Mytilus edulis: one gene and its partner. The protein of the gene in region 2 interacts with the protein of the main gene of each other region in a pairwise test. Links are inferred from orthologs where the notes say so. Each region holds a gene or a part of one and is shown on either strand. Other genes may lie near its edges.

What was found.
Region 1: the proteins of NEDD4-like E3 ubiquitin-protein ligase WWP1 (region 2) and ubiquitin-conjugating enzyme E2 L3-like interact in binary tests that used the Caenorhabditis elegans proteins (3 or more experiments, as listed by UniProt). The link is inferred for Mytilus edulis from reciprocal best matches to the Caenorhabditis elegans genes wwp-1 and ubc-18.

The regions. Positions count from the first base shown.
Region 1 is NC_092349.1:14,319,104-14,326,240, forward strand, and holds the start of ubiquitin-conjugating enzyme E2 L3-like, read left to right. Parts: upstream 1-4,078; 5' UTR 4,079-4,181; coding exon 4,182-4,208; intron 4,209-5,525; coding exon 5,526-5,621; intron 5,622-6,620; coding exon 6,621-6,807; intron 6,808-7,137. Other genes in the region: BTB/POZ domain-containing protein 6-like, read right to left, coding at 1,823-1,850. UniProt on the Caenorhabditis elegans protein: Ubiquitin-conjugating enzyme E2. Accepts ubiquitin from the E1 complex and catalyzes its covalent attachment to other proteins. Required for diet restriction-mediated lifespan extension, probably acting as part of a complex with ubiquitin-protein ligase wwp-1.
Region 2 is NC_092348.1:11,608,003-11,615,108, reverse strand, and holds the start of NEDD4-like E3 ubiquitin-protein ligase WWP1, read right to left. Parts: upstream 3,019-7,106; 5' UTR 2,932-3,018; intron 147-2,931; 5' UTR 123-146; coding exon 62-122; intron 1-61. Other genes in the region: RNA-binding protein NOB1-like, read left to right, coding at 3,248-3,316. UniProt on the Caenorhabditis elegans protein: E3 ubiquitin-protein ligase which accepts ubiquitin from an E2 ubiquitin-conjugating enzyme in the form of a thioester and then directly transfers the ubiquitin to targeted substrates. Ubiquitinates klf-1.

The DNA of each region.
Region 1 (7,137 bases), on a different chromosome or scaffold from region 2:
AAAGTCCAAGGAAATCCAATAATAGTCTGAGAGAAAAAAAAGTATGGGATCGCCAACACTGCATGCTCAAAAAAGGAAGACATTTTGGTGTAGCTTCGATAGAAAAATGCATATATAGCTTCGACTGATTCCTGGTCCAGGGTTCGGCAATTCTGTTCTTTAAGATGTCAAAATATTTAATTTTAATCCTTTATATGTATACACCATCATCAGAAAAAACCTACGAATTTCACACTGAAAACCATTCACCATATTTCCTAGTTTATTTGATAGTTTCCTATCACACCAGTTTCAATGCCTTTTGATACATATTCAACATGTATTACAGAGCAAACATAATCAGTTTACACTTGAATTTGTAAGAGCATAACATATTACTGACCTTGCAGAACACGGATTTGTAACTTTTTTTTCATCTAATTATTATTATCTTTCAATTTTCTTACTATTTTTATTTACTAGTTTCATTTACTATTTATTTATCTAGATTATTGTGGAAAGGGGGCCCGGGGGACGATGTCAAAACAAAAATATATTTTACCCTCAATAAAAAAAGACGGAAAATCAATCAATATACTTGTCATAAAAATCTATAAAAACTTATTTACTTGTTCAATGAAAGTATATAAAGACTATTAGCATGATACAAATATCAATAAATCGACCAAAAATTAGATTAAAAAACCCTTTACTTTATAAAATGATATCTTTATCAGCAAACAAACAAGACGCAAGCCAATAGACATGACGACAACTGTCATATCTATATCTATATAATACATATTCTTAGACCAATACGATTATTTGAAAAAAATTAAAAAATGCAGGTCGGTTTAACTTTGAGTCTTCTTAATACTATGTTTAATCCCTTTTCTCTACAGAGGGTGGTAGAGGGTTATTTTCGTGCAACGTGTTTTGCCATTTTTATTTCACGTTCAGTCGTGAAAAAGGTTTGTTATTCACCGTGTTTCGTGAAATCGGGAAAAAGATCAACGTGTAAGAAATTTTTAATTGTTCGTTCATCGTGAAATGGCAATTTTATTTCGCGTTCTTCCGTGCAGATACACCCCTTTACACCCCTCTCTACAGATTTTCATTGTTTGTTACTTTTTGTATTATTTTTAAAACAACTAGTTTAACCCAGACACATATAAATATCTGGATGGGGAGTCTCATTAATCTATATTCTTTCATTGTGTAGAACATATTTCTCTATTCTTCTTTTGACGTTTTGTTTATTATTATCTGTTCTGTTCTTGATATTTACGTACACAAAGGTTCTCTATTCTTTATTAGTTTGGCATTTTTTTTTTTCAATTTATCTTTTTTTGCCCATTATCTGTACTCTTGGTACGTTATATTCTCTATTCTATAAACCCCGTATGCAGCCTAAGTTAGGGAGGGACCTCGTCAGGTCGTTTTTTGTATGCCGGTTTGAAGAATTTCATATTAATGGCATGCAGGTTTTTTTTTATCATGTTGATATTTGATTTATTCACATCTTTTATAATTTAAACGATTTAGACTAGGAGCTTGTCTTATTGTTTGGACATCTGTTTATTGTCGTATGTGTTGCATACTTGTTAGATGTTTTTGTTTTTTGTCGTTGCGGATAGCTGTTTCATTGACGCCGATACCTCCCCCTTTTATGTGCTTGACTGAAAATCGTGTAAAGTGTACACATGTGCTTTTCCTTTAATTTCTTTAGCATTTGTAGTTATTGATAGTGTATAATTCTAGGTTAAAAGCTAATGTTAATCTATCTTATAATCTAACTTATTCGGATTTTAAATTTTAAATTGGCCCCAAAGGGGGTCCTTACCTTCCTTTTTGGGGGATTCTGTTGCCATTATAAACTCCTAAGTCATGAGTTCTCAGTGTATTTATATGATAAAGTAACATGTTGCTCTAACATCGAGGTCAACTTTTTATACAAGGTAGATATTATAAATAGGCTTTTGAGTCCAGGATTTAATCCGCAAGAACAAAGATACTTCAATTGAACATTCTTTAAATGTCTTAAAGTATAAATCTTTCAATATTATTACCCTATTTTTCTATCAGTTGACATACAGTAGGTATTTATTTCTAATTTGAATTGAAATTGTCCTCATGTTTGATCAACTGCAATATACCAATTAGAAGAAAAATAGTTGATCGCGTTTCTTTAGCCTTTGTTTACTTTACAACCTTTTTCCAACAATTATCGATGTGTGGACATTTAAATATAGTTTGATCGGTACTAAGAGTGTGTTTATTGGGGGTCCTTCATTTTTGTTTTCATTTCCTCTATTTGTCATATTTAAGGAACTTTTATTCTCTTTTCCTTCTTTGTTTGCCAATTCTTTATTCTTTTATTGGGGGGGGGGGGGGGGGGGGGGGGCATTATTCTGCACTTTTTGTCCACTATCCGATATTGTATAAACCCCACACAGACCCTCTCTATTATTTTGATGGTTTAAATCGGTTAAGGACACCATTGTTTATTAATTATAGGTTAGACTATACTTGGTCATGTTTTATGAAGATTTAAGCCCAAGGCGAAGCCGAGGGCTTAAATCTTCATAAAACATGACCAAGTATTGTCTGACCAATTTAGAACATATTCACACCTACGAGTGACCTTTTAATCTTAGATGCATGATTTTTTTATTAGTTGTTAGTGGCTTTGAACTAGCTGTCAGATAACTACGAGTACTCTCAGATCTGTTCATTGTGTCTTTTGTGTTTGGATGTATAAGTACTCGGCCACGTCCACTTGTATTTTTGTCCATCTGATGAGTTAAGCCTTTTAAAAAAAACGGCACTTTTGCGCGCCCTGGAAAATATATTTGAGGAAGAAAAATAACGGCACTCATGCGTGCCCTGTTAAAGAATGATTTTTATAGTTCGTTCTTATGTTATAGTACCACTGTCTCAGGTTAGGGGAGGGTTGGGATCTCGCTAACATGTCCCCGCCACATTATTTATGTATGTGCCTGTCCCAAGTCAGGAGCCTGTAATTCAATGGTTGTCGTTTTTCTTTTTTCTCAAATGTATTTTACAGGGCGCACAGGAGTGCCGTTTTCTTTCTTTCTCAAATATATTTTCCAGGGTGCGCAAGAGTGCCGTTTTCTTTCTTTCTCAATATATTTAACAGGGCACGCATGAGTGCCGTTATTTTTCTTTCTCAAATATATTTTCCAGGGCGTGCAAAAGTGCCGGTTTTTTTTCTGTCTCAAATATATTTTCCAGGGCGCGCAAAAGAGCCGTTTTTCTTTCTTTCTCAAATATATTTAACAGGGCACGCATGAGTGCCGTTTTCTTTTTTTTATCAAATATATTTTACAGGGCACGCATGAGTGCCGTTTTTCTTTCTTTCTCAAATATATTTTACAGGGCGCGCATGAGTGAACATGAGTGCCGTTTTCTTTCTTTCTCTAATATATTTTACAGGGCGCGCATGAGTGAACATGAGTGCCGTTTTCTTTCTTTCTCAAATATATTTTACAGGGCGCGCATGAGTGAACATAAGTGCCGTTTTCTTTCTTTCTCAAATTTATTTTACATGGCGCGCATGAGTGAACATGAGTGCCGTTTACTTTCTTTCTCAAATATATTTTACAGAGCGCGCATGAGTGAACATATAATTTCAGTCGGTTGATTTTAAGAATTGTAATGAAATTATTTTCTTCTGAATTGTGTGCATGTTATGGGCTTTATGAGATTGGCAGTTAGATCATTCAGTCGGCACGACAGGGTCTACTCGATCGGTTGGTCATCGACTTTTTCCCCCGAGATATCAGTTTTCTTTACTTTTTCTTGTAATCAAATTTAGGAGTATAGATCTGAGGCGATACGTTAGGTACGTTAGTACAACATTTTTTTTGTCAAACAATAAAAGTGTGAACATATTTACATTAGATCAACATGGTTATAAACAAAGGTGCAATAATAGTATAATTAATACAGATATTTGACAGGAAGTACAAATTAGTAACATGATTAAGCACATGTATTAAAAGATTTTAATAACACTTTTGCAAAATTTTGCTATTCCAGTAAGTGTAAATAAATCTGATGTATTCCTCAATTCTTTAAATTTTAAAACATTTTTAAGTTATAACTTCAGTTGAGGAAAAAATATGGCGCGAAATATTACCTCCTCATGACGATTATTCAAGTCACGTGATCAATTCAATATGGCAGCGACCAGGCGGCTTCAGAAGGTAAACAATCCAAAAAACGCTGTAGTAATTCCTATATAAAAGTATATTAGTCAATAAATAGATATAATAAAACAAAGAAACATGGGTCATTCCATTTCGTTGAAACCCTGCCATGTTTTACTTACATTTATTCATAAAAACGAATTTACGAACTTGTGTCTGACTAACCCAGCAACAACAAAAATAAATTCCAGAAACGACAATCGATATATGTTTTTTGTACATTCAATAGAAACATCGTATCTGAAAAATATTTTTTTATATACAGTATTAATCCAATACAGTATATTGCTGTGTTTTTATTGTTTACTCAAATGGGAATAAGAATATTCCAGAAAATATTGTTCCTGGTTTTCCTTTTTTTTTTTAATGAAATTATGTATTAACTTCATGTAAAACGTACAGAAAAGAAGCAAACTTGAATGTTCTAGAGATTAAACATAATATAGACGAGACATTTTATAGACCAGCTTTTTTTGAAGAAAGTTTTTGTTAAAGATATATTGCACATTGTTGTGTAATAGACCTTATCAATATAGAAGAATCTGTGACCCTTGAACCGAGAATTTGTGACTGACTTATGAACTTTTGATGCGATTCAACGATCACACTTCCTTTGTGGCTTCAGAGATATCTAAATTTGAAGGCATTTTGTCGGTCAGAAATTAAGAGTTTGGGATACAGTGGACAAATAGGGTACAACCCCACTTTAATGAATCTGGGTCTGTTTGCCCAAAAATATGTTTGCGCCCATTATCATCCTACTTGTACTTCCGCAACCTACACATTCACACACATTTAATGTTTGGAACAACTTTTCTAAAACAGGGGTCCACTTGTTTCATGCAAGTTAATAATTCTGAAGATAATAAGCATGATAAGTCAAGGAATATTACAACATATTTGGACATGTTTTGACCATATAATACCTGATAGATGTATAGTTTATTGGGAAAAGTTGCATGTACAGTCATTGACAGTCTGCAGTTAAAGTTTTTAAAACATTTATTAGCTTCATAAGCCATCCTGGATTATTACCAAACTTGGACAAAAGCTTCTTACAATCAAAAGATACATTGTAGTATCTAGAAAGAAAAAATAAAAAATTCCCCATTTTTGTTGAGCCTGGGACTAACAGCAAAAGGAGGCAAGACACTGGGTTATGCAGAACCCTAATGTACACATTTTTTTCTAGTATATAAAGTAATCATATGTTCATGGTGTTTGGAAGTTAGTAATAACAAATTTACACATAGAATGCATGTTAAAAAAATTGTATTAAGAATAAGATTGAACTTTTGACTTTTTCTTTTGCAGGAATTGGGAGATTTAAGAAAGGCTGATTTAAAAACGTTTAGAAATATTATTGTAGATGAATCGAATATACTGAAATGGGAAGGATTAATAGTTCCAGTAAGTGTCAGCAATATTAACATGATTTAACATTTTACTTCACATACACATTGTGCCAATTGTTAACAAACATCAACTCAAGTTTCAATGCAATTCAAACACTTGTCCTGACAAAAAATTATAAAAATTCCCATGATGTCTGAAATATTACATATTAGATAGTGTAGACGTAATTTTGTGTACATTTTCATGTATTTACACTAGATTATACACCTAGCACTTAGCTAAAGTAGAGATTCAACTTAAAAGAAACTCAAGACCAGTGGTCTTAGACCACCAACCTTTCTATATTTTCAAACCATAAAACCTATATTGTTTCCAGTATTTTACAGCAAAATTTGAAAAGTATCTAATGAAATTCTTGCATGACAAGATGAAATGAAATGCTGCAGTACTAAAGTAAAAAAATATTATTACTCATGCTCATATTCCCAGGGCCACTTGGCTACCAGATCATATATCAGTTTAACCGTAAGAAATCAGATTAACCAGTCTTTTCCCTACAAGTTTCATTTAGCATCCTGGTATACAGCAAATTATGAAATACATTTGTACCATCTGTATGTAAAATGTAGCTTGTTTCTAGAAATTATAGCATCACACCTATTACACTATCATTACAAAAAGGGAATCATTTTGTAGCATTTTATTACCATTATGCTAAAATTTAAAGGCCGTGGGGAAAGCACTGTTAACTATTGGATTGTTTTCCTTAGATTTAAATTACTTTCCAACTTTTTTTGTTGTTGTCTGAAATACATGTAGTTCTAGAAGAAATTCATCAGGAATAATGGACATGTGTTTTAGTGTTATCATCATTGTCAGTCCCCCTACCTACACGTATAATAAATCTGATGTTTGGAAATTACATGTAGATAAGATTCATTAGGTCACAATAATGAAAAAAATAACTATCAGAAGATACTCAAATTTATTTTAGATACAATGGCTATTTTGTTTGATTGTATATTTACGATGTTTTGTTTTGTAATATTTCAGGATCAGGTTCCGTTCAATAAAGGGGCGTTTAAAGTAGAGATTAACTTTCCTGCAGAGTATCCATTCAAACCACCAAAAGTAACGTTCAAAACAAAAATATACCACCCTAATATTGATGAGAAGGGTCAGGTGTGTCTACCTATCATTAGCCCAGAACACTGGAAACCAGCTACAAAAACAGATCAAGGTAAGGGTGCATAGATAGGAATTATGCAATCAATCTGTGAATGAAGAATGTTCGCACTCTCAAAAAATAAAAAGCTTGTTCTAAATTGATAGTATGTAAATAAAGGATTTAAAAAAGCAGAAAAGAATGGAGGGTCCATAAAACAGGGGGGAATAGGACCTTTATTCAGACTCCAAAATCGGGTGTTTTTAATCTCAGGATTTCGGGATTGATCCTTTTGTGATCCGGGAATTCTTTTTTCGAATTTCGGGACCTCCGGTTGTCGTGTTTTTATTCTTGGATTTCGGGATCAGGACCCCTCCTACCTCCTCTCATATAAGCCATTAAAAT
Region 2 (7,106 bases):
ATTTTGACAGATATATAATGTATATAGGGTCAGGCAAAAATACATAGTATAAAATATTTACCAGTTACTTGTAACTGTGAGAATTGAGCATTTCCTTGTGCTGCAGAGGCTGCTTCTCCCATTATTTGGAAGTCTCACATGTACACCTGTAATACAATTCATAATTTTAAAAATATGATCAAGAGACTTTCATTTGTAGATGCAGAAGGTCAGCATATGATATTCATGGGCAACCAAGTTATACATGTTATAGAGAAAAGTATTACCAATTTTCAATCATGAATGTCAAGAAACAGGGTAAAGTTGTTAGTTTTTTATTGCACTGTACAAGTAAATTTTTGTAAACATGAACACAGCTGATTTTCGATTTCAGCCTTTTTCGGGTCACTTAAGATTTGTCAGTTTTACTATGCTGTCTGTATATAGATACATGCAGGCCCTATTCATTTGATTTTTATGCATTATACTTAAATAAATGTAGTTTGTGTGTTTTAATAATATAAATGGTTTCCTATGAAAATATTTTTTGGAACATACATGCAATTTGTTCTGGTTAATTGTAAACTCCAATACATCTGGCCAAAGATTGGAGTCTTATAACATGTATGACAATGCAACAGACAACTTTCAAGTTCGATGCATTTCTGTCAAAAACATCATGTGTGCTTTAAGGGGCCTTGTCACTTCAGTTCCCATGTTGAGCAATTGGTTGGAAAACTATGATTCTATCATGTCTATCTTGCACGAATTATTCGGCAAATTGGATTTGATAATTTACAATCAGCACTGCTGTCATTAGGGAATTGTGATTAAATACCTACCCAACAAACAATATTTCTAGTTTATCCTGCACAATGATGATCACTAATAGTGCAGGGATACAGGCAATCCCCTCTATCTGGTAAATCATGTCATAAAGACATGCATAATTGATGAGTTTTTTTCCAGTGACAGACAAACTTGAAAGTGGTCTATTTATATCATAGATAAAGAAAGATGTGGTGTGAGTGCCAATGAGACAACTCTCCATCCAAATAACAATTTATAAAAGTAAACCATTATAGGTCAATATGTAATCAACTTTTCCTCATCAATAAATATTGTTTCTTTTCCAAGATCATGAAAATATTGTCCTTAAAACATTGTAAACATGGTAAAACCATAATTCAAAATATTCTTGAATGTAATATGAGGCAGGCAATACCTCTGAATGGAGACGAAGTTTATGATTTTTCTTTTGAATCAACAATGTTAAAAAGAGAAACGGAAATACCATAACGTTTCCGATTTTGGTTCTGTTGTTAGTTGTGACGTCATATTCAATGTAAACAAAGAAACGCTGTCATCAGGTAACGTTATTTTAATAACAATAATTTTTTTTTTAAATGAATTAGTATTAGTTCCTTTCTTAGACATGTTAGACTGATAAATTATAAATATACATTTTATTCAAAGTCTCTTGTAAACAAGACCGGAAACAGAAGTAGATTTCTGCGCAGATCTGGAATTTCAAAATGTGACAAAAATAAAATTGAACGATTTTGAGTTCATTCGTACAATAAAAAATTTGGGAAATTTTCCCGATTTTTTTTTATTTTTTTTTATTGAATTTTCTACTAGAACTGTAATAGGGGACTTCATCCCCATATTATTTACTAATTATCAAAATATGATTAATAGATGTAGCTATTGAGAGTATAAAATATCAATGGGACAACAATGCTGACTACATGTACAAGTAAAAGACAATGAAAGAAAGGTATTTAAGGTCCATATATATTATATGCATGTACATGTATGATATTTGTTGTCTCCACCATTAACATCTGTCTAGTTCTTTCCACATTCAACATGTTCAAAGCACATTCTAATTTTCATGGTGAGGTTTTCCCTGATGTTTAATTTGTGTAAATCTAAATACAATCCCTTATACTTATCCATACTTTTAAATAAACTTATTGTAAAAGGAAACTCATTCAACACCAAATCTATTTGATGTTGGATGTACACTGGTTGATATTTTCCCTGTATTTAGTCTAAGATATATTATATTTTCATTAGTAGATACATGTATGTACAATGTATTTGGACTTTGAACTAGCTTTCAGTAACATGAGTACTCTCAAATGAGGGGTTGTCACTCATTTGATTTGTTCCCCATTTGGCGGGTTGTCTCCAACCTTTTATTTAAGGCTACAGGAACATTGAAAAATGTGCTCGCCCAAATGTGCTTGCATATTTCCACACAAAAAATAATGAGTCTTGCAAGTTGAATGAAAAATAACCAATATCTGATTTGATTGTTCTTTGATTTTACATCACTGAACCTAATGACATTTGCACAACTTACTCTTAAGATGTGCCATATAAATTATTTTGTTGTGATGCATAATATAATAATTTACAGGAAAACATTATTTTTCCTTCAAAAGACATGTTACTGATCATGCTGATAGATAACGATGTAAGCAATCTTTAGATTTTAAATTTTAAACTGTACAACTATACCTTTGTAATCATGATTTTTCAAAATTAGAATGTCTTTTAATCTATCTTACCTATATGTAATTATAATTCTTGTGAAATATGCGACTATGTCACATGATGTAATAAAAAGAGCTTTCAAAACCATGAAAACAGTCTATACTGAATAGTTTTAACTCAATTTATTCAATAGTCATGATAATAAAGGATCATATGGTGCATGTCCAATGATTAACAGATAATACTTTTAGGACAACATTTTACATAAAATATTTAAGTCGTGTGTAAAGCAGGATGTTGTTAAGTTTGCTGTGACAACTTTGACGATTTGCTATGTTTTCTTTTTTTCAACTGAAATATTTGATATATTTTTAAAACACAACTTTTTGATATGTGTGAGAATTTGTATTGGGGCATCCCTGCAATGCGCATTTTGACAATATTGACCTGTATTTGGTTACGAACGAGCACTGTCAAAACAGTTTGATGTCCACCATTTCTTATTGGTCATGTGATCAATGACGTCGAAAGTTGTTATATTCATATATGTTTTTACAATCTTTACAAAATATTCTATACTTTTTCCTAATTTCTGTGCTTTAAAATAAATGATTTTTGCAATAAATACCATTTTCTAATTTTTTTCAATTAAGATATTTTGTAAAAAAAATAAAATCATATAAACGCTTTAAAGTAAGACAAATAATCTCTATCAGAATAGTTGCCTTTTGACATTGAATCTCATGTGGACAGCAAATGAGAAATGTCACAAAAAAGTGTAAAGCATGTGATAGCCGATGCTGGGGCTTTCATACGAAATGCCCCATTACAGGTACAAACAATACACAATTACCATTTATTGATATCTACCAGGATGTTTGTTTTTTTCAACTTCACACATGTATGTTAAAGTACTAGTGAAGTGCCTTTTCTTATACCCCCTGACTAAAAGTTGTACTATAGTATATATAGCCTTACCTATGACGGTTAAAGTCTTCTCAAGCCTTATAGTACTGTTTAATATACTGGACAATATTAGTATTTGGATCACAAGTGTATGGTTGTCATGCCATATGGGCATACTCCTAGTCATACATATCATATCAGGTAATATGAGGCATTACCTGTAAATGAGGACGAAGTCTGTATGATTTTTTTTTAATTCAAACATGTTTTTAAAAGAAACGGAAATACCGTAACGTTTCCAATTTTGGTTCTGTTGTTAAAAAAACAGGGATGAAAGATACCAAAGGGATAGTCAAACTCATAAATTTATAACAAACTGACAACGCCATGGCTAAAAATAAAAAAGACAAACAGAAAAACAATAGTACACATGACACTAATTGTTAGGGATTTAGTTGTGATGTTATTTAGTTATGACGTCTTATTCAATGTAAACGAAGAAACACTTTCATCAGGTAACTTTTTTTTATATAAATTAATTAACCCTTTCAACGCTATACACAGCATATGCCGCGATGACATTATATGAAATATGATTTGATCGATCATTACGAGACGAAGAAAAAGGGGGGAAAACGGAGGTTGACTGAAAATTTTGAGGACGAAGCCACTGATTTGTGCCACGATTACATAATATGTTGTGTATGGTGCAATACGCTACGGAATCGAGCAATTGGTGTCGTCTTTATTATATGGCAGATAAAACAACAAAATAGATGAAGACTAAAAGTAGTTTTGATTCAAAATTCAACATAAATGTAATAAATTACACCTATTACCTGTTAATTACCTGAAAATGCAGGTAACCTGATAATAATTTTACTGAAATAACTGCCTAATATTACAGTTCATACTCTCCTGAGCATTTTTCATGCTATAACTTTCTCTTTATCTTTTATAATAAAAAAGATACAGCAGTCTGAAAAGGAATATACTGTTCTAATGAATGAACACAAAAAAAAATGCAGCAGCAGCAGCCATTGTCTATTTTTTTGTGTAGCATTGAAAGGGTTAAAAATGAATTGGTATTGAGTTCCAATCCTATAGTCCTGAGTTCTATAGTATATTGAAAAATTCGGGAAATTTTCACGATTCTTTTTTTTTTATTGATTTTTCTACCGTAAATGAGGCAGGCATTACATGTGAAAGGGGACGAAGTCTATGATTTTTTTTTTATTCAAACATATTTTAATTTCAAAACGGAAATACCGTAACGTTTCCGATTTTGGTTCTGATGTTAGGGATTTTAGTTGTGACGTTGTTTAAGTTATGATGTCATATGCAATGTAAACAAAGAAACGCTCTCATTAGGTAATTTTTAAAGGCAGTGCTTTAAGGCCTGACTTTTAAGTCATGAGGTTCATCTTTTCATACGCAATCTATGCTGGGGGTCTTTTGGCCAGAAATAGATCCGGAAATGTTCGAATTTCTCCTCTTCTTTTTATGGTATGATATGGTTTTTGTTTCTTTCATTTACATTGGGGACTAAAGAAACGATCAGTGTGTATTGTTCGTTTTATAGAACTTGTTATTAGTGTGTATTTTGCATTATAAGCAGTCAACCTGACTACAAACTATCATTATTAGTATATTCCGTGTGGAAAGAGGTCGGGTCAATTTCAAGTGTTATCTGACATCTAAAGATTCTTTAATTAGTTCAGACGTTGATATAACAATGAAAAGTCGACTGAACATGATTAATATTGCACCTTCTATAATTCAAAGCGGAATTCGGTTTATGAACGAGAAACCGTAAAGCGTTTTCAATTTCGGTATTAGTTATGTATGTTGTCTACGTATTATCCTGGTTCCCGGTACTACGTTCCGGGTATTAGCTATTTGATATATTTGATGTGTAACATTACAATCGGGTACCAGCCAATCTACGTGTGTATGTGTACATGATTTACCGCCAAAATGACCGACTTAAAAAATAGTCCATAAACGTTCCGTATAATGATATGCAAATTCATAATTAATCGTAACTTTTTTTATCTTTGTATAATTAATATAACAAAATGGATTCCACAAAATTGAAAATAGCATTATTTTACGAGGATTTCTCATATTTTTTTCACTTCCGGGCGCAGTAATACGTATGTTTTAAAGAAGCTCGAAGAATTTGACAAAGTGAATTGAGAAGGAAACGGATAGATATACGTCCTTGCTATCAGGTAAAACAATTTAAATGTTCAGAACAAACACATTTACTTCACACAAATAGTACAGGCTTAAGCTTTTTATTGTCTAGCTTATACACGACTGTAGTCAAGTGTTTAAACGACGGCGGTGACCTACAAGGTACGGGTCATACTGGGTCAAGTCTAAATATGTAAACATATCCACGTGCTATTAGGTAGAACGCATCGTAATGCAATATCTACAATTTTTTCCTCCTTTATACATCGTTTAACCAGATATATTTCTCCTTTTTACATCGTTTAACCAGATTTATTTCTCTTTCAAATACACTTAAACACGGGTTGTATGTACGTATCTTTTCTAGTGTTTTAAAATTTCTTGTCCTTATTAAAGTTCATTTGTTGATGTTTAAATATTTTTGAACGACTGAACACAGGAGTGAATGAATGCAACAATTATATATATACTGAAGACTTGGGCTGTACAATGATAGTGTACGTATATCATACTGATAATTATTCTAGCAGTAATTATGTTAATTTAGGATGTAATGTCTAATGACAGGAATTCATGAGCTATGCCTCAGGCTTTCTGAAAAAATATCAATGACAATGTAAACAGGAACAAAACATTGACACGAATGATGCTCTCTTCTATGTTATATTAATATATAGTTATTTAGGTATATGTGTTGCACAAGTTTCAATTAAACTTAAGTTATAAAACTTTTTTTCAGGGCACAAACCCACTTTAAAGAGACTTGTCTACTGCCATACCCATCCTATTTTTATGCACCATTTGCAAGCAAGAGACTGAATGGTTTGCAAAATTTAAAATCAGGACGGTGTCCAATTAAAACAAAAGAACTAAACTGGATGAATATTGTAGGAGAAATCTAGAGGAAAGTTTTGATTTGTGAAATTGGTTTTTCTGAAAAGTCATTCATCCTAGCCTGCAGAAAGGAACTATAACTGTCCACCACCAACTGACGAGCTAATGTTGAGCTTCACATATGGAATTACTCAAATACCATCAATGTCTATGTTTTCAGCACAGATTTCACAATTTATGACACAGCTGTGCTTTTTTTTATACCTGTTAAAGAGTTGTATACTAAATTTTATTTTTTTATCAATAAATATATATTATATTAATTGTGTCATCTAAGAACTTGTATTTTGCCAAAAGATGCATACTAGTGAATGAAAGTGGTGCAGTTCATTTTGCTTTGGTATATAGAATTGAATTACAATTGTTCATGTTATTGGAATGCATATAAAAATAAGGAGATGTGGTACACTGTATATGATATTTAGTGAGTTTATCAAGCAAAAGTGAATAAGAAATAGGTATAAGCAGTTACAGGTACTACTGTACAATCTCAAACAATGAGAAAAACTCGTACCGTAAAGAGAATTTCATATTTACAAGTAAGTTTTGTTTTTGCGTTGAATAATTTTCTTCTATTGTTTTAATTGCAAATATGGGAAGTGGTTAAAATGCTAATGAGACAG